3 linked regions of the Diceros bicornis minor genome follow. Each later gene encodes a partner of the first gene's protein in a complex. Links are inferred from orthologs where the notes say so. Each region holds a gene or a part of one and is shown in the gene's direction. Other genes may lie near its edges.

Region 1 (7,852 bases):
TAAGAAAAGAAGCGGTGGCCAGTGTGGCAGGGCCCCAATGAGGGAGGAGGAAGGTGGTATCGTTGCCTTCAGAAAGGGGGCAAGGCATGGCCCAGAATGGAGGTTTCTAGAGAGCCTGAGAGCTTGATGAGGGGGCAGAGTTGGGGGATTGGAAGTGCTCATCCTCAGGGGCCGTAGCCTGAAGGGCACTGATGGTAGGGGACGGCACCCACCCCAGAAGTAACAATACCAGCGTTTCGCAAGCACATGCTGTGCCAATCTCGGCTCTAAGTGAACAGACAGCTGAATACGTGCCCTCATGGAGCTTACATCCTGGTGGGGGTGGGTGGGGTGATGTGTTCTCTGGGCCAATGGTGAGGCATGGCTGCAACAGGCTGAGGTTTATTACAGGGAGTAGTACCTCAATATGCTCAGGAACTTGGTGGCTGGGACAACATGCCTGTCACTTCCACAGTCCCAGTAACCGCAGGCTGGAGGGTGGAGAGCGCTCCCTTTACACATTAGTATTCTCTGCTTTGGGGCCTATCCTGAGTTGGGAGACTGGCCCCACAAGGAAGCACTCAGGGAGTGACACCGCTCACTTCCAGGAAGGTTCATGTGGACATCGCACCCACCTTAGTCACATACAAATAGACTCAGGAGCTAGGGGTAGGGGCATCACCTCTGCTGGTGGGTCCAGCAGGGAGAAGGCAGAGATGCCAGGGGCATGAAGGGGAGCCCAGGCATCTGGATTTAACAGGGATCTAAGAGAGGCTCCCTGGAAAAAAAAAGACAGCCAGCCCCAGACCAAGTCCCTACTCCATCTGCCAGATCCAGATCCAGATCCAGATGCAGATCGAGAGAGAGGCTTAAAGAGTGAGCCCCGGATGCAAGCAAACAGCCTATTCCCAGAGAGAAGTGAGGGGGTGTGTGGGGAGAGACCTCCTGCTTGAGAGAAAGACACAGAAAGACAGAGAGGAGGGGGCAGAGAGAGAAACACACACGCGCACACACACACACAGGTGTGCATCTTGAGTTAGAGACCACCCAGATTTAGGGCAGAAGGAAAGAGAGGAGCATCCAGACTCACCAAGACACAGAGGCAGAAACCTCCAAGCCCAGAGAGAAACAGAAGTCAGGGAGGGAGACAAACACTCATCCTCAGCAATAGAAAGCCCTGCTCTGACCCACCACCCTCAATCCCTGGGCGCTCTGGCCTTTCTGCCAACGTAGGAGGTTCCAGTGTGGTAGCTTTTCCCTAAAGACGGCTGCTATTTCTTTTTTTTTTTTTTCATTAATAATTTTGTTTATTTTTTTTTTTGGTGAGGAAGATTGGCCTTGAGCTAACATCTGTTGCCTATCTTCCTCTTTTTGCTTGAAGAAGATTGTCCCTGAGCTAACATCTGTGCCAGTCTTCCTCTAGTTCTTTTGTACATGGGATGCTGCCACAGCGTGGCTTGATGAGCAGTGTGCAGGTCGGCACCTGGGATCCGACCCGTGAACCCCGGGCCGCTGAAGTGGAGCACATGAACTTAACCGCTACGCCACCGGGCTGGCCCCCGTCATCAATTTCTTCCTATATGCTACACCCCCATCCAGAAGAGCCCTGAACCACCATATAAAAAGCCCAAGCTATTCTGCTGGGGAGAGGGCCCTGTAGAAAACTGAAGGGCCAGACAAGTGAGTGAAGAAGCCATCTTGGACATCCAACCCAGTGGAGCCTTCAGATAACTCCGGCCCCAGCCACCATCTGACTGCAACCAGCCAAGACCCCAAGAAGAACCTAGCCAAGCCCAGTCAACCACAGGACCATGAAAGATAATACTAAATTGTTGTTTTAAGCCACTAAGTGTTAGGGTGTTTGTTGCACAGCAATAATCAGAAGACCCAGAAAAGGCTGCAGTGGCCCTTCTAAGGCCTGACACTCCCACTCCCACATCTCCCTCACAACAAAATCAACACCAGCCAGGTTTTCAATCTCTTTAATTAGGTGCTCTGAGGAGAGGGCAGAATGGTGGGCAGGGGCTGGAGAAGGTGGTGCTCCTTGAGCCCCACTAGGCAACCGGTCAGTCCTCATCCTCCGGCAGCTCGATCTTGCTGGGGTCAAAGCAGTTGGATTCCATGATGGGGAGGCCATTGGCTTCTCGGTATTTCACAAGCCTCTCAGCTTCCCGGCGGGCCCACTCCTGCATCCTGGAGGCAGCAGCGTGGGGCAGATGTGAGGGAGCCTCACTGGACACCAATCCCCATCTTAGCTCCCCATTCCCCAATGGTGCAGGAACAGGATTCCTGGCAGAGTCCCCTTCGATCTCTACCCCTGCCTCTGTTCCCACCCATCCCACTCTCTTGGATACCCCATGCACCTGTAGTCAGGCAGATAAGCCACAAAGGTGCTCCCAAGGACCAAGACAACAGAGAAGCCAAAGAAGAAGACAACCCGCATGTTCCAGAGGTCCACAGCAGGGTCCTTGTCATAACCGTGGGTGTCTGGGTTCTGTGGCAAGGAGAAGAAGAAGTCGATGAGGGCTTCTTGCTGCTCCACAAAGCCTTATGCTGGCCCTGCATAAGCTGGTCTCCAGTTTCATCTTGGACCAATCTCCCCTCCCTCCCTAAATTCCTCTCTTTCTATTCTTAGCACTTGTCAAGCTCCTTCCCACCACAGGGCCTTTGCACATGCTGTTTCCTCTGCCTGGAAAGCCTTTCCCCCAGATCTTGTCATGGCTGGATCTGTCGCCTCCATCAAAGTCTTGGCTTCATCATCACTTCCCTTAGGAGGCATTCCCTTCCTAGTCACATTGTTTATTAATTTGAACTACAGGAAACTGGTTTTCATAGGTTGAATAGGTCAAAATGGTTGAATATTGGCAATTTCCTATGGTTCAACCTAATAAAATAGCCCCCTACCCCCAAGTCACTCTCCGTGGACTTATCCTGCTTCATTTTCTTTCTAGCATTTATTAGTTTACCAAAGAAGCATCCCCTCAGATCCTGTATCATATTAACCTTATATTATTATCAATTACATACTCTATGTTACTGTTGCCAAATATTGTACTTGTTTATTTTCTGTGTTCTCCACTATAATATAAGCTATGAGAGCAAGGGCTTTATCTGATTTCCACACTGTTGAACCCCTAGGGCCCCGAACTGCACCTGGCATATACAGGCCCTCCATACTATTTACGGAATGAATGAACAAGTGAACAAGCATCCTGTACGTCCAAGCTCCTCCAGCAGAAGTTAGTATTGATGAAATACCTATTATGTGCCAGGCCTTTCACATACGCAAACTTCACAATATCTCAGTGAGGTGGAAAGTGGCAACAATAATTAACACCTTCTAATGCTGAGTACTTACTAAGTGCCAATGCTGAGCATTTTGACTCATTTAATTACATGAGGTGGTGTAATATTTTATTTTTTAGAAGCTGTCCTAATACTTTCCCCATTTTATAAAGAAACTGAGGCACCAAGAGGGTAAGCTACTTGTCCAAGTCACATAGGTGAGCAACTGTCAGTGCCTGTTTTCCAACCTAGGCCTTCTGATTTCAGAGGCTCTGCTATCAATACAGCACAGCAGACCTGGTTCCGCCACACATTCAGTTATGTGAGCTTAGGCAAGTCACTTAACATCTTTATGCTTCAGTTTTCTCATCTGTAGAATGAGTATACCAATAGCACCTACTTCGAAATAAGGTTGTTTTGAGGATTAGAAAGTTAACGTAAGTAAAGCGTTTAGAACACAGGCACTGAGCAAGCTCCATATCAATGTTTAGTATTATTGTCGTTACGCTATATTGCTTCTAATGTGTTTTGAGCACTGCCCACTTCAAGTTTGACATCTGTCTGCAAAATAAGGCCAATCTCGCCTCTGGCCCTGAACTGAAGATTATCAGGGGACAAAAGAGGAAAACAAGGTAGGCAAAATTCCCAAGTCTTTGAGGATTTCGCCAGCTGCGCAATCCTCAGCCACCTAAGAACGTCCTCTACCGCTCCCCGTCCGCTGGCCCCTGATTGACCCTTCCGGCGTCCCCTTTCCTCTCCCTCTCACCTTCTCATAGAGGTTTTCGTCCTCGAGATCTGGGTCTTCCTGCCAGCGTATAGTGGGTTCCCGCGCCCGCTTTCCCGCCACAGCGGACGGGGCGATCACAGCCCTAGAGGAGCTTGAGTCCCAGCGAACACGGGCAGCCGGGAACCCTCGCGTCGCCGCTGCTGCCAAAAGGCGGCGAGCGCACAAACCCAACAGCCCGGCCGCCATGTCAGATTGTTCTGCAGGCTCTCAGGGGCGGGGACGGAAATGCAACTCTGCGCAGCTGCAGTTGGCCCGAGCGCGATAACTGTCGCTCCGCCCCGGCCGCACTAAATATGTCCCGAGTCTGGATTTCGTTTTCAAATGAGTGAGGCGCTAAGTAGCCCTCTTTCCCTCCCTCTGTCATGGCTTCATGGTAGCAACCATTTTCTTATCCTCTCAGTCAGGCTGTGGAATTTCGGACTGAGAGGTCTGCTCATTTCCTTGCTGAGAAGAAAGCGGTGACATTTGGGTGGATTCAGTTCCCAGCCAATCGCAGAGACATTTCCCTTGCCCTCTGGGGAAAGGGGCGGGGCTTCCGCTTGTCTTTCATCTTCTAAGGAAGCCAAGCTTCTAAAAAGCGGGCCTTGCCGGATTGGCCAATAGCTGCTCCTTTTCTCGACTTCGGGCGTTCGCACCGGGAGTGGGGAGGTGGCAGACGCTTGCCAATCAGAGCAGGAAGGGGCTGGCCGACGGCGGACGGCGACCAATAGATGAGGCCGGCCAGAGCGCGCTCCCTTAGTAGGTGGATGGTGGTCGAAGCGCCGGCTCGCTTCTCGTCGTCGCCATTTTGTGCTGGTGATCGCGGCCGGCTGGGAGTTGGCGGCAGTGGGTTTCCCGGGGAGGGTAGCGCTCTTGGCGCTTCTCCCCTCCCCCCTCCTCCGCCCTTCCGCCTCCAGCCTCGAACTTGGCTGTTGCCCGGACCGGCTCCGGCTGAGCTGAGAGAGTTGGAGGAGGTGGCGGCGGGCCGAGGTGATGTCTGGGAGCCCTCCCTTGACAGCCCGGGCCGAGAAGGTGAGCGTCGACGCTGGTCGTGGGGGCGGAGGTAAGGGGCCGGGGGCGGGGGTGGGTGTAGAGGAGGTGGGAGGGCGGACTGCGGGCCCGGGCCTGGGCTACGCGTGGAACCGAGGGATGCATGCACAGTCTGAGCCCGGGAGGGGGTCTTTTTTTTTTTTCCTTTTGGGAGCAGAGGCGCGTGCGCGATCGGGACACAGGAAGGGTGCACGCGGGTTGGGGGAAGGGAGGGACGGATGGGAGTGGGCCGCTGTGGTTTACGCCGCGACACCGAACTTTATCCGTGGGGAAGCGGGTGTCTGCGACTTTGCTTTTTATCCATAGGAGAGGGGGTGTGCAGTCTGTTCTGTGTGACTTTGGTACTTATCTATCCATGGGGAAGTGTTTTGTGGCTCTGGTCCTTATTCTTGGGTGGGGGAGGAGGGAGAACGTCTGTATGACTCTAGTCTTTATCCTTGTGTCTGTAACTCTGGTCCTTATCCACGGGGAGGAGTCCTTAACCATAGGGAGTCTTCTTACGACTGGCCCTAACCCACCTACTGGGTGGGGAGGGAGTGCAAGGAATGTATGTATGACTTACTGCCCCTTCTTTTGGGGGGTTGTATCTTTGACTCTGACACTCATCCATTGAAAGAGGGTCTCAGTGTATGATTATGGCCCGGATTTATTGTGGGTTCCTGTCTGTGATTTGGGGCCGCGGTTATTCCGGGCCTGTGTATGTGACTTTGGTCCCTATCTGTTGTGGATAGCAATGTGTGACTCTGGCCCCTTTGCCGGAGTCTACTGAGGGTTTTGTATCTGGCTCTCATCCACTGGGGCCCCTGGTTGTGATTCTAACTTTTTCCCATCTGGGAGCAGGTAACTTTGGTTCCCTGTGGCTTGAGGAGGAAGAGAAAATTCGTGTGTGTGTGTGTGTGTGTGTGTGTGTGTGTTGTACATGGAGGAAAGGTGTGGTGGCAACCTAGTGTTGGGCAGGTGCTGTTACTGCCTGGATTTGCCTGATTCTTGTTCAGAGGGCGGGGCCTGAAGATTCTGGGATATTTCGTGATGACCCTGGGCGGGTCACGTGGCTCTCAGGACTTCCTAGTTCTCACCGCAGCCCTCAGGGTTGGGTGAAGTGACTGCCCTTCCATCCTAGCAGAATAGCACAGTGGTTTGGAACAGCCTCCGAAAGGACTCCTTTTTCCTCTGAATAACTTGGGCTTAGAGCCCCGGGGAGAGAGCCGCCTTGGGACCTGGCTGCACATAAGAGACGGGGCTCAGGGCTGAGCCAGTTGCCGCGTGAGGGCCAAAGCTGTGTTGGCCAGGAGCCCAGGGAGGCAGCAGCTATCTTGTTGCCAAGTTAGCCCCTTCACCCACTAAGCCTTGCAGCTATCTTGTTGCCAAGTTAGCCCCTTCACCCACTAAGCCTTTCATGCTCTCCCACCGTCTTGTAAGGGGCAGCCAGCATCTTGTTGGGAGGATGAAATACCTGAGGGCCCATGGAAGGAGCCTGGAGACTGGGACTCCCGTTGTGAAGTCTTGCCTGCATGACTAATGTGCCTGATCTCGGACAAATCATGCAGCACCAAGAGCCCCCCCGGGGGGCAGGTAGCTCCGGGCTTGAACTCATCTACCAGTCTCAAACAGCAAAGCCCTGGTCACAGAATGGGTGGCACCATGAAGTCTGTTCCCTCTCTGCTGAAGACCTTGCTGTTTCTAGGGTAGTGAGCTCTAGCCTCACATTTGTGGGGAAAGGAAGGAGCAGGTCAAGTAGGGGCTGCCTTCCCAATCTGGTCCACAGGAGCACTAGGAGTTGGAAAACAACATCCCTGGGCTAAAGGACAGTAGAGAGCCTTGACAACGAGGGTTTCTCAAGGAGGCCCTCTCTGCCCCAACTGCCTTGACCCCTTTCTTCCTTCTATTCTCCCCAGAGTCCCTGCAGGAGACATCACCCAGGCTGGCAGATCATGGTGGCAGCAGCGGGGGCAGCTGGGAAGTGAAACGGAGCCAGCGGCTGAGGAGGGGCCCCAACAGTCCCCGCAGGCCCTATCAGGACATGGAGTATGAAAGACGGTGAGTTACCCGCTCCCACCACTACCAAGCTTGTCCCCATGTGAGAATTGATCCAAGAAGGTGCTAGGAGGGGGCTTCCAGGCAGAGGAAACAGCACAGCAGATGATTGGTGTTTTCTCAGCAGACATTTATTTGGCATCTGTTGTGAGCCAGGAGCTGTGCTAGGCTCTGGGAGTGCAGTGGTGAATGAGATCGATAAGACTGCAGCCTTCTTACTCAGGGTCTCACAAGGGAGACCACACAGTTTCCAGGTGGTTCAAAACAGCTTGACGGGTGCCATGGTGCCGTGGTTGGTTGTGAGGGTGGGAATGGATCAAGAGAAAGGGAGGAATGGAGGCTAGTACCCAGGTTTCCAGTTAGGTTGACCCAGAGAGGTGTGTGGTGCCATTCACCAAGGTGTGGACAGCCACTGCAGGAGGACAGGCAGAGGTGGAGGGCAGATGGGTGGGGGGTTGTAAGTGCCCGTGGATTCTCAGGGGAGAGCTGTGGGCTGTAGCTTTGGGTTTGAGGGGTAGATGGGACTGGTGCCTTCAGAGTCAGGAATTTGTCCAAGACAAGTGTGGGGCAAGCCAGGTCAGATAGCGGGAGACTTCAGGGACAGGGTGGGCTGAAGTTGGTATGATACTTCTCTTGGAAAGGACACTCTCGTACAGTTATTTTTAAACTCTGGTACAAATGAGAAACAGTTGGGACACTTGGTAAAATACAGAGATCCTGGGCCATACCCTCACTATG
Region 2 (7,676 bases), on another chromosome or scaffold:
AAACTAATCAAACAAAACTGGGCAGTTATTAACCTGGGATAGACAAAAAGTAAGAAAGGAAACATAATCTCACTAGACTGAAATGCTCAGCTGTGAATAGGCATAATAACCTAAATACAGATTTTTGATTTAACAAAAATTGTATTATTGAGTGCATGGGGAAAGTAAAGCAGAGGGGATGGTAAAGTTTGAGAACTAAATCCTCATCTTTCGTAACAGGAAGTGAATAAATAAAGTTTAAAATTGATTAATCAAAGAGTAGCAGTATATACAAATTCCTTACAAAAATGGAAATGAGTAAATCCTAGAAAAAAAGCTAAAATGAATTGAAAGTAATTGTTTCTGGAGTGGAGGTCTGGAGGGTTTGGGACAGAATGAGGCAGGGAAATATCGGGGTTTTTTTTTTCCCATGATGGATTTATTTTATTTTTAGAAATGGATATGGTACACTTCCTTGTAATTTGCTTTTTTTTTTTTTTACTTTTTAAAAATTTTTTTGAGGTCATAATGGTTTATAATGTTGTGAACTTTCAGGTGTACATTATTATTTATCAGTTTCTGTATAGACTGCATCATGCTCACCACCAATAGTCTAATTTTTAGCTGTCACCATATATATGTGCCCTTTTGCCCACCCTCCAACCCCCTTCCTCTCGGGTAACCACTAATCTGTTCTCTTTGTTCATGTCTTTATCTTCCACACATGAGTGAAATCATGCGGTGTTTGTCTTTCTCTGTCTGGCTTATTTCGCTTAACATAATACCCTCAAGTTCCATCCATGTTGTTGCCAAGGGGACGATTTTGTCTTTTTTATGGCTGAGTAGTATTCCATTGTGTATGTATATGTATATATATATATATACATATATATATGTTGTTGTCTTTTCATTTTGCTCCTGGTTTCCTTTGCCTTGCAGAAGCTCTTTAGTCTGATGTAGTCCCATTTGTTTATTTTTTCTTTTGTTTCCCTTGCCTGAGTAGACATGGTATTTGAAAAGACGCTGGTAAGACCAATGTCAAAGAGTGTACTGCTTCTATTTTCTTCCAGGAGTTTTATGGTTTCACATCTTACCTTCAAGTCTTTAATCCATTTTGAATTAGTTTTTGTGTATGGTATAAGATAATGGTCTACTTTTATTCTTTTGCCTGTCGCTGTCCAGTTTTCCCAGCACCATTTATTGAAGAGACTTTCCTTTTTCCATTGTATCTTCTTGGCTCCTTTGTTGAAGATTAGCTGTCCATAGATGTGTGGTTTTATTTCTGGGCTTTCAATTCTGTTCCATTGATCTGTGTGTCTGTTTTTGTACCACTACCATGCTGTTTTGATTACTAGAGCTTTGTAGTACATTAGGAAATATCTTTTTTGTTGTTGTTATAAGCCCTTTACAACTATTTAACTTTTAAAATGATGTCCATGTTTTACTATTAGAAAAATAAAAATTAATTAAAAATAATTTATACGAGAAATACACACACTCTTGAAAGAGAAATGTCAGATCAAGCACATGGTCAACGATGTTGCATTGGTAGAATCCAGGTTAACTATTCTGAGAGTATTAAAAATAATTTCTAATCATGGGCAGACTTTCAAGAGAGAAGTGTTGATTAGCTTGAGTAGTTTGAGCTCTACAGGGGCGGTATAAAATAACATATCAGAGATAGCCACCTGCCTGGTGTAACAAAACTCTTACAAATGTCCGTAAGACCCTGGCCATCTCCACTAGACTTAGTCTTGAGGGCAGGAACTATAATTCACCCTATCTCTTCACTGCCTGGCCCATAGTAAGCACTCAATAAGGGTATGATGAAGTGGGTGCCGAAGCACTGAGCACATGAAAAAATTGGGTGAGGGGGATAGCAATTAACAACCTGGGATTTAGAATCAGCAAGATTCTGAGTTCCTTCTCTGTCACTTATTAGCTGTATGACTATAGACAGTATACTTATTTTGCCTGTCTATTGAGAAAATTGTGGGAAGAGAGAGTTGTTCTGAAGATTAAATGAGAGGATGTCCACAAAGCTTTTCATTGAGTCTGACACATGGTAGTCTTAGGTAAATGGTAGCTATAACTCTTATGAAATGGAGACTCCTGAATTTCTTGCATCAACCCAAATGATTGTTAATGTAAATACTATTTAGATATTTACTAACGAGAAGGAAAAGAAGAAGAAATTAGCATTTTTTGGCCTGCTATTTGCCAGGTACTTTATACACATTATTATTTTAATCCTTACAATAATAGTAATCATTGTTATCTCCATTTTACAAATAAGGAAACCAAGGTTGAGAGAGGTTAAGGAATTTCCTTCAGGTACTCTTATATTTATTTAGTGACTACTTTGTGTAAAGCTCTGTTCAAGACACTGGGAAAAAACATTGAGTAAGACAATCATAGTCGCTGATGAAACTTACATGCTGACAAGATAGACTACACTGACAATGTAATTACCGATTTTAGTAAGTGTTATGAAGGAAATAAACAGGGTCTTGAGACAGAAAATTATAGGAGCAATATGCTTTATGGGGTGGTCAGGAAAGCCCTTTTTAAAGAGAAAGTTGAGCTGAGATCTTAAGGATGAAAATGGGTAAGCCATGCAAAGAGCCAGACTGGATTTCTAGGCAGAGGGTATAGCACATACAAAGGCCTGGCTGCAGGAAAGAGCTTAGAAGCTCTGGATCATGGTAGTGAGCTATGTGGATAGCGGCTGGAGTTGATGTTGGTACGTACCTATAGGCAAAGGCCAGAACATGGGGGCCTTACAGGACATGGCAAAGAGTTTGAGTTTTATTCTAAGTACAATGAGAAGCTATTGTAAGGTTAAAAGTAGATGAAGGGCATGATCTCTTTCGTTTTTAAAAGATCCTTCCCTTTGATGAGTGAACGCAGTGAGGAAAGAAGAAAAGAGCAGAAGCAGAGAGACTGGTTAAGGAGGTTGTTAAGGACAGTTGTTCAAGGAAGAGATAAAAGAGAGTGGGACTAGAGTGGTGGGCAGAGGTGATAAAACCAGCAGGACTGCACTGGACACGGAGGACAGAGGAATCAAAGGTCTGGTTAGCGCCAAGTGTCTACAGGAGAAAGATTAGCATTCAGGTAAGGGGGATAAACAGTTCCATTTTGTTTGTTTTTTTGTGTGTGTGAGGAAGATCAGCCCTGAGCTTCCATGCTAATCCTCCTCTTTTTGCTGAGGAAGACAGGCTCTGAGCTAAAACATCTATTGCCAATCCTCCTCCTTTTTTTCCCCCCCCAAAGCCCCAGTAGATAGTTGTGTGTCATAGCTGCACATCCTTCTAGTTGCTGTATGTGGGACGCCGCCTCAGCATGGCCAGACAAGCGGTGCGTGGGTGCCCGCCCGGGATAGGAACCCTGGGCCGCCAGCAGCGGAGCCGCGCATTTAACCGCTAAGCCACCAGCCGGCCCCAACAGTTCCATTTTGGATAGGTCCATCTTGAGATGCTGGTGAGCCATCTAAGAGGCGATATCAGTAGACATCCTGCTATGCAGAATGGAGATGACCAGCAAATCTGAGCTGTAGATGTAGATGTTTCCTAGGGGCAAGGTAGGAGGTTAGTAAGTGGAGGAACACTAAGGGGGCCTGAGAGCTTTCCATTTGTCTGTTACTTAAAGAACTAAAATGATATCTAGGTTCCTGTGGGCTAAGTGTAGCCCAGAAGCGCAGCTCTCTGAGCAGACTACGGAATAGGCCCCTGATGTAGCATTTCCTGGACAGGCGACCCACACCCAAAGCAGCGGAGTCATCCGGCATACTGCCAAGACGCCCACAGTAAACCTACGGAAGCCGCAGGTCACTAAGTGCAGGCGCGACGCAGGGAGCGCTGCCTGCTGGGATTTGTAGGCCGACGGCGGCGGGCGTTTGCGCTACCTCCTTGAGACGCCTGCTGGATGCTGCGCTATGCAGATGGACGGCAGCGCGCTCTGAGCCTGCATCAGTCATTGCAGAACTGTTGTCCGAAAACGAAAATCTGATCTGGCTTTCTTGCTTGGAATCGTTTAGCGATGAGGAGCTCTCATCAGTTAAAGGATAAATTCAGTCTTAAAAATGACAATGTCCCTTTCATCACGATTTGGTACCCGTGGTAGCCTTATCTCTTAACACTTCCTAATCATTCTTCAAGACTATTGTGAACGCTGCCTCCGAGAAAGGGGCTCGCTTTTGACTTCTCTCCTCTGCTCCCATAGCACTCACTTACAACTCTAAAAATAATCATAATCATGACCAGCCTTCCTGAGCACTTACTACATGGTCTAGTCTAAGCTATTTACCCGCATTAGCTCATTAATTCTCACACAACCCTCTGAGACGTTTGCTATTACTTCCATCTTGCAGATGAGGAAATTTTATTTAGAGACGTTATGTAATTTGAGCAGGAACACGTTGAGGTCTCACAGTGTTTACTGCTGCATTCTCTCCCACGGGACTATGAGGTCCAGGCAGGCACCACCAGACCAGCATTTTACTCTCCCGCTGGCCACGCCCTGAGGGCGGGGCACCGGTGAGGACACTGCGTCCCATGGTGCCTTGCGCGCCCGCGCTGCAATTGGCCCGGCGAGTCGGCTCCTTGTTCAAATTAAGGCGCCGAGTCGTTGCTCGGTTTCTCGGGCTTCGGGCGGAGACGAGATTGGTGGTTCGAAGAAGAGATTGGTGACTCGGAGGCTCCGGCTGGTGCGAGACAGACGCCACGGCCAGTCAGAGCCCCGGGTAGAGAGCCGGGACGCCGAGCTCCCTGCGTCGGCTCCCCCGGCCACGCCACCACTCGCAGGGGAGGTGGGCATCCCGGCCCGCGCCGGCCGCCGAGCCCCTCCTCGCCATACCGCGCCCGAGTCCGCGGCCAGGCCTTGATTTTTTTGGCGGGGACCGTCATGGCGTCCCAGCCGAATTCGTCCGCGAAGAAGAAAGAGGAGAAGGGGAAGAACATTCAGGTGGTGGTGAGATGCAGGTAGGGCGAGCCTTGCAGGGTTCCGAGGGCCGGGCTTTGCTGCTGGGTTCCCTCTTGCGCGGTCCGAAGAGAGGGAGTTTGTTTGCAGTGTCTGAGGGTCCAAACCTTCCTGTTTCATACTTCTCCGCGTTCTCTTCGATAAAATGGCATCAGGTTGCTGTAAGGAGTAAATTAGTGTCTTTTTCAGAAGAAAAGATATTTGTATTGAAGGTCACAGTTTAAACTGCTATTCAGAAGGAGAATTTGATCGTCCTTCTTGAGTGACAAGTGCGTTGTTTTTTTAACTAATGTCAAAGATTTAGGTGTCACTTTTCTATGCTACTCCTTGCAGTTTGTCATTTTGGAAATAAGACTGCATGCCTACTTTGTAGATGTTTTAGCACTTATGTTGGGATTACTGTCCTCTCCATCATCTGTAAAAGCGTATTCAGTCACCTGTTCTCTTTATTCTAGATGTAGTATTTTCTTTATCGCTACTAAACATGTAAACATCACTGTATTTAAATTTTAAATATTAAGTTATAGAGTGAGTTTATGTTTTTAAAAGATCACGGAGACAACTTAAGCCAGTATAGTTATCTGATTGTGCTACAACTTAATATTAGACTAAAGGAGACAGCTTTTTCTGGGTGGGTGGGTGGAGGTGTTCAACTCTCCCCTGATTGATTTCCAAATAACTTCCCAATTTTGAAATGGGCTAGTAGAGGAAGAACATACTTGTTGTACAAGCTATTACTTAATTAGAGATTGACTTACTCAGCTTTTTAGAGGCCCTCCAGTTTACTGGTGTGTGTTTTGTGTCTATTTTTGTTACTGTTGTTTAAAAAACTCTACCAACTATCAGCAACTTTTCTGTAAAACTAAAAGTATTCTAAAATTAAAAGGTTATTTTAAAAATGTATCAACAAACTTTCTTAGGTTATTGCTAACTCAGATTCTGTGACTTGAATTGTAGGTAATAGCTAGCTTTCTAAACTAGGTACCAGAGAGGAAATTTGGTGGTAACCTTAAATCTAGCCAATTACCAGTTGCACTCAAGGGCTTCTGTTAATAGTTGCTTGTTTTGAAGATTTTAAAAAAATCAACAGCCCATATTACAAATGCAAATTTTTAGATTACTTTGATCGTTTAATAAAGCCAGGCAGTATTACCTTTCCGTGTGGTTTTATTTTCTTTAATTTCTTTTTTGTTATTAATTACAAAATATATCAGACCTATAAAAAGTAATCAAGAACGATGTAACAAACATCTGTGTATCCATCTCTCAGATTAGAAACAAAAAAGTCGTGACAGCTGGAGGCCCACTGTATTCCTCCCCATCCCTCTTCCACCTCCAAGAGTTAAACATTATCCTGAACTTCATGTTTATTATCCCCATACATTTCAAGCCTTGCTTTAGAAGAGATTTCTTTTACTTCATCTAACTTTAATAGAAAGCGCTTAGGTTGTGTCTAATATTTACAATAATTTTAGTATAAAGAGGTTTTTTTCCTTTTAAGGTTAGCCTTTTCTTTTTCAAATAGCCTTCCCAGTGCAAATATGTTCTTAAGCTTTAGTAAATAAACAACTTGTGAGGCCCTTTGGGGTTGTCAAACCTTTTCTGTAAAGGGCCCAGATAGTAAATATTTTAGGCTTTGCAAGCCACATATGGTCTCTGTCACATATTCTTGTTTAATTTTTTTTTTTCAGTTTTAAATTTTTAATTGGCACAGTTTATTGTAGCCCAAGAGGTCAGCAAGATTTCAAGAGAGGAGAGAGAACTTCATTACTTGATTACAATGAATACAATCTTTATGATGTTCTTTACTTGTTCAATAACTGTATGAAGAGAATTTTTTATTCTGTTATACACAGCTCAAGATAAATGTATAACTTCTGGAATGGAGGAACTGATGGAATGGAGAGAGAGATTTTAATAAGGAAATATGCTTTGATATATGTATATACCAAGACACACACCTATACACACAAATACACAAAACACCCCTCCCCTTTGTATACTGTACAGGTTGGCACAAGCCCTATTAAGATAATGTAAAAGTTTCTGGATTTAAGTTATTCTTGGCATTTTGATCTAGACAGGTGCTTAGGCAATTTAGGTCTTAACGTACCTGAATCATTCGTATATTTATCTATTTTGTGAGGAAGATCAGCCCTGAGCTAACATCCATGCCAATCCTCCTCTTTTTGCTGAGGAAGACCGGCCCTGAGCTAACATCTATTGCCTATCCTCCTCCTTTTTTTTGTCCCTTTTTTTTTTTTTTCTCCCCAAAGCCCCAGTAGATAGTTGTATGTGGTAGTTGCACATCCTGCTAGTTGCTGTATGTCGGATGCCACCTCAGGATGGCCAGAGAAGCGGTGCGTGGGTGTGCACCCGGGATCCGAACCCCGGGCCGCCAGCGCTCCCTTAACCGCTAAGCCACGGGGCCAGCCCCTCATTTGTATATTTAAAAGTACATAAGTGTGTTTTTAAAAAGGCCCAGACCAACTTTCCTTAAACAATAACCCAGTATGACACCATAGTTAGCAAATGGAAAACAGAATTGCTATTCTGTATTAAATCAGCAAAAGATATTTTAGAGAAAGGACAACTTGGAAAATAAAGACTTCAGAGTTCATTATTCGAGTTAAGAGCATTTTAGTTATTAGCAGTGGTTACCAAATAACCTGAAGGTAAATCTCTTCAAAATTTTGCTTATAATTTGCTTTGTTGAGGAG
Region 3 (7,983 bases), on another chromosome or scaffold:
TTCCAACAACATTTTTCACAGAAATAGAACAAAGAATCCTAAAACTTATATGGAAAAACAAAAGACCCCAAATAGCCAAAGGAATCCTGAGAAAAAAGAACAAAGCTGGAGGTATCACACTCTCTGATTTCAAAATGTACTACAAAGCTATAGTAATCAAAACAGCATGGTACTGGCACAAAAACAGACACACAGATCAATGGAACAGAATCGAGAGCCCAGAAATAAACCCACACATCTATGGACAGCTAATTTTCAACAAGGGAGCCAAGAACATACAATGGAGAAAGGAAAGTCTCTTCAATAAATGGTGTTGGGAAAACTGGTCAGCCACATGCCAAATAATGAAAGTAGACCATTATCTTACACCATACACAAAAATTAACTCAAAATGGATTAAAGACTTGAATGTAAGACCTGAAACCATGAAACTTCTAGAAGAAAACATAGGGACTATGCTCTTCAACATCAGTCTTAGCAAAATATTTTCAAGCACCATGTATGACCAGGCAAGGGAAACAATAGAAAAAATAAACAAATAGGACTATATCAAACTAAAAAGCTTCTGCACAGCAAAGGAAACCATCAATAAAATGAAAAGACAACCCAACATTTGGGAGAAGATATTTGCAAATCATATATCTGATAAGGGATTAATCTCCAAAATATATAAAGAACTCATACACCTCAACAGGGCAAAAGACCTGAACAGATATTTCCCCAAAGAAGATATACAGATGGCCAACAGGCACACGAAAAGATGTTCAACATCATTAACTATCAGGGAAATGCAAATCAAATCTACAATGAGATATCACCTCACTCTCGTCAGAATGGCTATAATTATCAAGACAAAAACAACAAGTGCTGGAGAGGATGTGGAGAGAAGGGAATTCTCAATAATTAGCTTAGTGCCCATAGGAAACATAAGGCATAAATGAGAGAAGATTTTATTTTGTTTTTTTGTTTGTCCACATTTCAAGCCAACTTTGTTTTGTTATTGTAGTGATTACTTTAGGGTTTATACAATACATCTGTAGTATATCACAGTGATAACATATTCAAGTGATATTATACCACTTCATATAATAACCTTACATAATATACTTGCATTTCTCATCAGACTTTATATTATTGTTGTCATATACTTTAATTATACATATGTTATAAATCTCACACTACATTGTTATTATTTTTGTTTAAACAGTCAACTCTCTTTTAAAGAGATTTAAACTCTAAGAAAAAATCTTATATATTTACCATGTACAGTCATGCATTGCTTAACGAGGGGGATACGTTCTAAGAAATGCTCCATTAGGTGATTTCGTTCTTGTGCACACATCACAGAGTGTACTTACACAAACCTAGATCCTATAGCCTACTGCACACCCGGCCTATATGGTACTCATCTTATGCAACCACCGTCGTATATGCAGTCCATCCTTGACTGAAACGTTGTTATGTGGCATGTGACTGTAGTTTCTATTCCCTGCATTCTTCCTCCTTTTATGCAGATCAGGATTTTCATCTATCATTTCTTTCTGCCTGAAGGATGTCCTTTAACATTTCTTGTTGTAAAGATAGGATGACGAGTTCTTTCAGATTTTGTGTCTTAGAAAGGCTTAACTTTGCCTTCATTTTTGAAAGATATTTTGGTAGGTGTACAGTTCTCTAAGTTGTCTGACTTTTTTCCTTTCAGTAATTTAAAGATATTGACTCACCATCTTCTTACCTCCAGTGTTTCCAACAATAAGTTTGTTGTCATTCTTATCTTCCCACTGTAGGTAACATGCCTTTATTCTCTGGAAAGTTTTCCTCTTTATCACTGGTTTTGAGCAATTTGATTACAGTGTGGTTTGGTGTAGTTTTCCTTATGTTTCTTCTGCCCGGGGTTCCTTGAGTTTCTTGGATCTGTAAGTTTACAGTTTTCTTCAAATTTGGAAAAATTTTCAATCATTATTTCTTCTAATATTTTTCCTGACCTCCCACCCTTCACTTTTCAGAGACTCCCATTACGCATATATTAGGAGGCTTGAAGTTGTCCTCACTGATTTTCTGTACACTTCTTAACCTTTTTATTTCTTAGTGTGTTTCATTTTAGATAGTTCTTTTATTATGTGCTCAGGTTCACCAATACTTTCCTTTGCAATGTCTACTTTGCCACTAGTCTCATCCAGTATATTTTTCTTCTCAGGCATTGTAGTTTTTATCTCTAGAAATTCAATTTCATTCCTTTTTGTATTTTCCATGTCTCTACTTTCTGAACATATGGAATATAGTTAAAATAACTGTTTTAATGTCTTAGTATGCTAATTCTAACATCTGTGTCAGTACTGGATGGGTTTCAATTGATTGACTTTTTTTCCTTATTATGGGTCATATTTTCCTACTTCTTTGCATGCCTGGTAATTGGATGCCAGATATTTTGAAATTTGTTCTGTTGGGTGCTGGGAATTTTTGTATTCCTACAAATATTCTTGAGATTTTTTGGGGAGGGAGGGCACAGTTACATTTACCTGGAAACAGTTTGATCCTTTCAGATCTTGTCTTGAAGATTTGTTAGGCAGTACCAGAGCAGTGCTCCACCCAGAGCTTATTATTCTCCATGACTTAGGCAATACTATTCCGAGTTATCTACCCAGTGCTTCACGAATCATGAGGTTTTCCAGTCTGGTCAGTGGGAATAGGCACTATTCCTAGCTCTGTATAAGTACCAGGCACTATTCCTGCTAATCTTTTTCCATTTGTTCTTTCTCTAAGTTAGGAACAGAGTCTTCTATCTTGCATTCCCGAGTCTAGAACATTACTCTCAAATTTTGACTGATCAATAACCTCCTCAAAAATGTGGTACAGCAAAGGGTTGATTCTGAGATAAGTGTCCGTCCTCTGTGACCCCCCCAGCAGCCTGTAACTCCTCCATCATAGAACTTATTATATCATCTTGAAATTGCATGTTTGATAGACTTTACGAGAGCAGAGACTGAGTCCATCTTGTTCAATGCCATTTCCCCAGTATCAAGCACAGTAGGAGTACAAAAAGTATTTGTGAAATATGAATTCTGAATTCTTCATCCTGCTTTCAAACTACTTGGTGAGAAAATGGGTCTTTAAACAAGTCACAGAGTTGCAGACCTCTAGAAAAGAGAATTTTAAATAGTAGCCAGGCCTCAGTCAAGAGTTCACCTGACTGTGAGGTTATAGCCCTATCCTGGCAGGTGGAGTTGGGCTTAGACACTTATGAACCTATTTCACACAAAGCTAACTAACCAGGAGCATGGTGTGGGGTATGTATGGGAAGGCTTCAGACTAGTCTCCCTGTTTAGGGAGGCCTCTTCATCTAAAGACCTTGGGGGTATACTTGAATTCTGTGCAGGCCTTTCCTTTCTTCCACATATATTTTAATGCCTATTGATGTCTGGCACTGGGCCAGAAGACCTCCAGTGCTGCATTGCAGGAGATGCTGTTCACATGGTATTCTGTTTTATGGTCTAGGAGACATTTGATATCATGTGTATCCAGATTGTCCTGCTAGGGTTCCCATCTCAGCCTGCTACGTAAAGATCAATTAAAAGCATGTGTATTTGACATTTCTTTTGACTATCTGGCCATGTACATCTTTCTAACCTTGCTCTAAATTAAATTCATCAAACATCTTAGAATGCCTACTCTGTGCCAGGTATGCCAGTTACCATTGGGACTGATCATTGGATAAGCCATTTGACAACAGGAACAGCATTCCCACGGTGGCCTAAGGCTAGGGCACTATCCAGTTTCTGAGCACTGGATCTCCCTCTTTACAAATCTTTCTACCTACCTTCTGCCATCACATTCACAGTACAGCTCATCTTATGCCCTGAGCACAAGCAAAGGTGAGATGGGACAAATCCAGAATAGTGTGGGAAGTGAACTCATTTCATTGATTTATTGGTTCATTCGTTCATCAGTTTGATATTTATTGAGCACCTACTATGTATCAGACACCATGCTGAATGTTGGTAGTATAAAGACTAGCAGATACAGCCTTTGTCTTGAGAGAATTCACAGTCCAGTGGTGGAGGCAGACAAGCGAATGAACAGTTACAATAATGTGAGTGATAGATACTAAGGTAGAAGAATACATAAGGCCAATATCTAATTTCTTGAGGGGCCATAAATTCTTTGAGAAACATGGTGTTTATCTGTCATAGTTCCTAACAACACGATTTGTAGAGGGTGAGCACTCAGTAAAGAGTCAAGAGAGCTGGATTGTGGTCCCAGCCCTGTCTTTGAATAGCTGTGTATCCTCTCATAGTCATTTCAGCTTTCTGAGCCTCAGTTTCCTCATCTGTGTGACTGATGACACCAGTCCTGCCTACCTCACTGGGTTATTGCAAAGATCAATGGTGACGAGACGAAAGTAATTTTTTCGTTAATTATAAAGATTTCCACAAAATAAAACATGCAATCATAAATTATATTCTTAAATGTTTGCTTAATTTTAAAATAAAAGTTGTTCACCGCTTCACATAAGTGCCGAACGATCCTTTTCTTAAAAAAAAAAAGAAAAGAAGCAGGTAAGGGTCCTTCATTGTTGCCACCTTACGGTTCAAAGCAGGTCTGGCGTGCCCTTTCCTGCACTCCAGAAAGATATCTACTATTATCCCCATCTTACAAATGAAAGAAGTGAGGCGCCAGAGAATTTGTGCAAGCGCATGGTCTCTTCAAAGCCCAAGCCTAAGCCACTTCCCAAGGTCTTCGCGCGTCACTAAAGTCAGAAAGACCGCGCCTGGGCTGCAGCGGGCTGCTTTTCTCTGGAAGCCCCGCCTCCCCGCCACGGGAGGGGCTGGACGAGGCTGCGACTCCGCCCCGTGACGCGTCGGCCCCGCCCCTAGGCCCTCCGCCTCTCGCGGGATCTCTCGGGATGCCGGATGCGGTCAGGTCCCATCATGGCGGCTGAAGAGGCGGATGTGGATGTTGAAGGGGACGTGGTGCCGGCGGCGGCACAGCCCGGGTGAGGCGTAGAGACCGGGTCTCTCAGGGACGGGGAGGGCGGGGAAGCGATTAGAGTATCCTGGGAGGGCCTCGGGCCCGGCCGGGGACGGGGGAGCGGGAGACCGTCCCCTGGGCCGGGGTCTCCGGCGGCCGGGGAGCGCCGCGCCCATCCGCCTGCCGGCCGCTCCTGAGCCCGGCGGCGGGACCGGGCTGGTGCCGGAGGGCTCCTTCACCTTTCGCTGGATGTGTGAGGGCGCCGACCTGGCCCGGCTGTGCGCCCCATCCAGCGATTAGATTCCTTTTTCCGTTACCTCCACCCCAGCATTCGCCCCCTCGCCCCCTCCGACAGTAACTAGAACGAGGGCGGCTTCTGGACTGGGCCTGAGCCCGGGGATCCTTGTGCCGTCGCCTGCAAGCCGTGTGACCTTGGGCGTGTCGTTTCATCCCTCCTGGCACAGCTTTCCTCTTCCACATGGGGATAGTTGTGAAAAACTTCCTGGGAGGCAGCTCGACTTCAAGGAGAGGGGGCGGGCTTTAGAGTTGGACGGCTCTGGCTTCTCCTGCATTGGCTGGCCCTGCCGGTAACCAGCAGTGTGACCTTGGGCCAGACGTTTAACTGGTCTGAGCCTCAGACAGCTCATGTGTACACTGACAATCAAGATACGTACTTCAGACTGTTACTGTGAGGATCCAATGAAATAATTATGGGATGTGCCTTAGCATACGGTAGGTGCTCCGTCAGTGTGTTCCTTACCATCCCGTTACCCTCAGAGATGGTATTGTGAGGACTCATTGAGGGGTCACAGTGTATTTAATAGCTATTCCTGCAGAGCAGGCCAATGTGGTTTTACACTGTAACCTCCAGCTTGAGAGATCTAGCCCGTTGCTTGCCTTTCGAGTAAGAAATTGATACCATTTTGAAATGTGCTTCCAGAGTCTCCTTTTAGTAATGGAAGAGGCCTAGACTGGTCAGGAATAAGAAGACCTCAGTTCTAAACTCCGTCAGCTGTTGCTTGTAACTATGAACAACTTCATTAGAAGTCTGTTAGGTTGAACCATGTGAAATTGCCAATCTTAGACCATTTTTGACCTATAAAATGTCAGTTTCATATGGTCCCACCTAATATTAGGGCCTCTGTAAATTGTGGGAGAAGAGCACTAACCCTGCCCAGGAGGGACTAAGATAGTGGGTTTCAAGTTCTCCTGAGCTCTAAAGCACTATAAAAATGTGAGGAGTAATTAAATTCATATAGTCGTTCTCCCCCAAATCTTGAGGCAAAGCAGTCCAAAGTCATACAGATGAGTAGAAGCCTTTAATAACAGTCATCGTTCACATTTGTGTAGAGGAGTTAATCTTGACCAGGGGCTTTGCATGCATGATTTAATTTACTTGTCACAACAGGGCTATGAGATGAGTGGGCAAGGATGCTTCTAGAGAAATGAGTTGGGCTTGGAAACACTAAAGATCATCTGAGAGCATTGGCTCTACCCTTTTTCCACGGGTTCTTCTTTATTCTTCTGATTGTGTTTAATTTTTCTCCCTTTCCTCTTTTTCTTTCCTTTCTCTTGCTGTCTTGATTGAGCCTTAGGTCTACTGGTGGCACCTGTGACCTCCCTAGTCTCATGCAAGCAGGAAAACAAAGGTTATTGGTTCCTGATGGTCAGAGCCATTGCTTTACACAACTCCGAGGGGCACCAATAACATTATATTCTGGTGAATGGTGCTCCCTGGTGTTGGGGCTCTGATCATACGGAATTTAGTGTGAATGATGCACCCTGCAGTGTGTAGTTACAGCTGATGATAACATCTGTGGAACCCTTGAAGATTAATTGAAAACACACTTTTAAGTACTTGCTAAGTGCTCGGTACCAGAGTTAGAAGATGGCATTGACACTTCTTGGTTTCCCTTCTGCTTTTACCATTCCTTCTTGTCCTCCTTTTCTTCTGCTTGTCCTTTAAATCATAGTGTTTCTAGGGGTTTTATCATAAGACTTCTCACTAACCACACAGTCCCTGGTGAGGTCATCCAGAAGACTTAAATTTCTATCTCTTAGGTTGGACCATATGAAATTTTGCCAATTTTTGACCTACAAAAATGGCAGTTTTCTAAGTTCCACCTAATAACATGCTGATGTTTGCCAAATCTGTCACCAACCCAAATTTTCTCCTGAGGTTCAGATCCGTTTATCCACTTCTCTGAAATCTGTCTGCCCTTGGATGTTCCACAGGCACTTCAATCTCAGCTTATGAACTTTCCCCACCAAACCTGCCTCTCCAAGTTCCCTAGTTGAATGAATGGCACCATCCACCCACTCGCCCAAGGCACAGACCTAGACTTTATCCCTTTTCTTTACTCTCTTCTTCCACTCCTTCTAGCCTATCACTTATTAAGGGTCTGTTGATTCTAAGTATCCTCTCAAATGTATTCACTTCCTAGTCACACTGTCTGTTCGCTAGGTCTGTTACTGTCACCTCTCTCTGGTATTTATGAGATCACTCCCTCTTAACTGCTCCTTGTCTCTTAAGCCCCCTTCGGTTCTTTCCTGAAGTTAGAGCAGTCTTTCTTACATCCAGATCTGATCATGTTATTCCCTTTAATCCCCACTTGGCTTTATGATAAAATCTTCATTCCTTAACTTTTAGAGACCTGTATGATCCATGCCCCACCTACGTCATTCAGTTGTTCATTCAACGAATATTGATTAAGCACCTTTTATATACCAAGCCCTGGGTATGTAACAGTTGTCAAAACTGAGTCCTGGCTCTCATAGAACTTTTTATGTATGCCAGATGGAGATAAGTAGAAAAAGATAGAAGAGAGAAGGTGGATGGCTTGTGAGCTTTATCTCATGTACACTTACCCAGGAAAATGATAAGGTCTGAAACTGCAGGACCTCAGAGGTAGTGTGGATACGGTGGAAGGACTGATTTGAAAAAGGTTTGAGAAGCAACAGAATTGGCAACAGACTGAATGTGCAATGTGAGGAAATAGGGCAGACTGAGCTTTCTGT

Evidence for each region.
Region 2: RBM10 (region 1) and KIF11 share a complex: the UniProt entries of both Homo sapiens proteins name them as parts of the large chromatin remodeling complex. The link is inferred for Diceros bicornis minor from reciprocal best matches to the Homo sapiens genes RBM10 and KIF11.
Region 3: RBM10 (region 1) and MYSM1 share a complex: the UniProt entries of both Homo sapiens proteins name them as parts of the large chromatin remodeling complex. The link is inferred for Diceros bicornis minor from reciprocal best matches to the Homo sapiens genes RBM10 and MYSM1.

What each region holds. Positions count from the first base shown.
Region 1 is NC_080781.1:40,956,127-40,963,978, forward strand, and holds the start of RBM10 (RNA-binding protein 10), read left to right. Parts: upstream 1-4,782; 5' UTR 4,783-4,797; coding exon 4,798-5,062; coding exon of another isoform or gene 5,063-5,093; intron 5,094-6,975; coding exon 6,976-7,117; intron 7,118-7,852. Other genes in the region: NDUFB11 (NADH dehydrogenase [ubiquinone] 1 beta subcomplex subunit 11, mitochondrial), read right to left, coding at 2,046-2,172, 2,343-2,473, 4,031-4,237. UniProt on the Homo sapiens protein: Binds to ssRNA containing the consensus sequence 5'-AGGUAA-3'. May be involved in post-transcriptional processing, most probably in mRNA splicing. Binds to RNA homopolymers, with a preference for poly(G) and poly(U) and little for poly(A).
Region 2 is NC_080745.1:58,334,356-58,342,031, forward strand, and holds the start of KIF11 (kinesin-like protein KIF11), read left to right. Parts: upstream 1-4,610; 5' UTR 4,611-4,881; coding exon 4,882-4,958; intron 4,959-7,676. UniProt on the Homo sapiens protein: Motor protein required for establishing a bipolar spindle and thus contributing to chromosome congression during mitosis. Required in non-mitotic cells for transport of secretory proteins from the Golgi complex to the cell surface.
Region 3 is NC_080752.1:20,399,556-20,407,538, reverse strand, and holds the start of MYSM1 (deubiquitinase MYSM1), read left to right. Parts: upstream 1-4,907; coding exon 4,908-4,990; intron 4,991-5,186; exon of another isoform or gene 5,187-5,680; coding exon of another isoform or gene 5,681-5,697; intron 5,698-7,983. UniProt on the Homo sapiens protein: Metalloprotease with deubiquitinase activity that plays important regulator roles in hematopoietic stem cell function, blood cell production and immune response.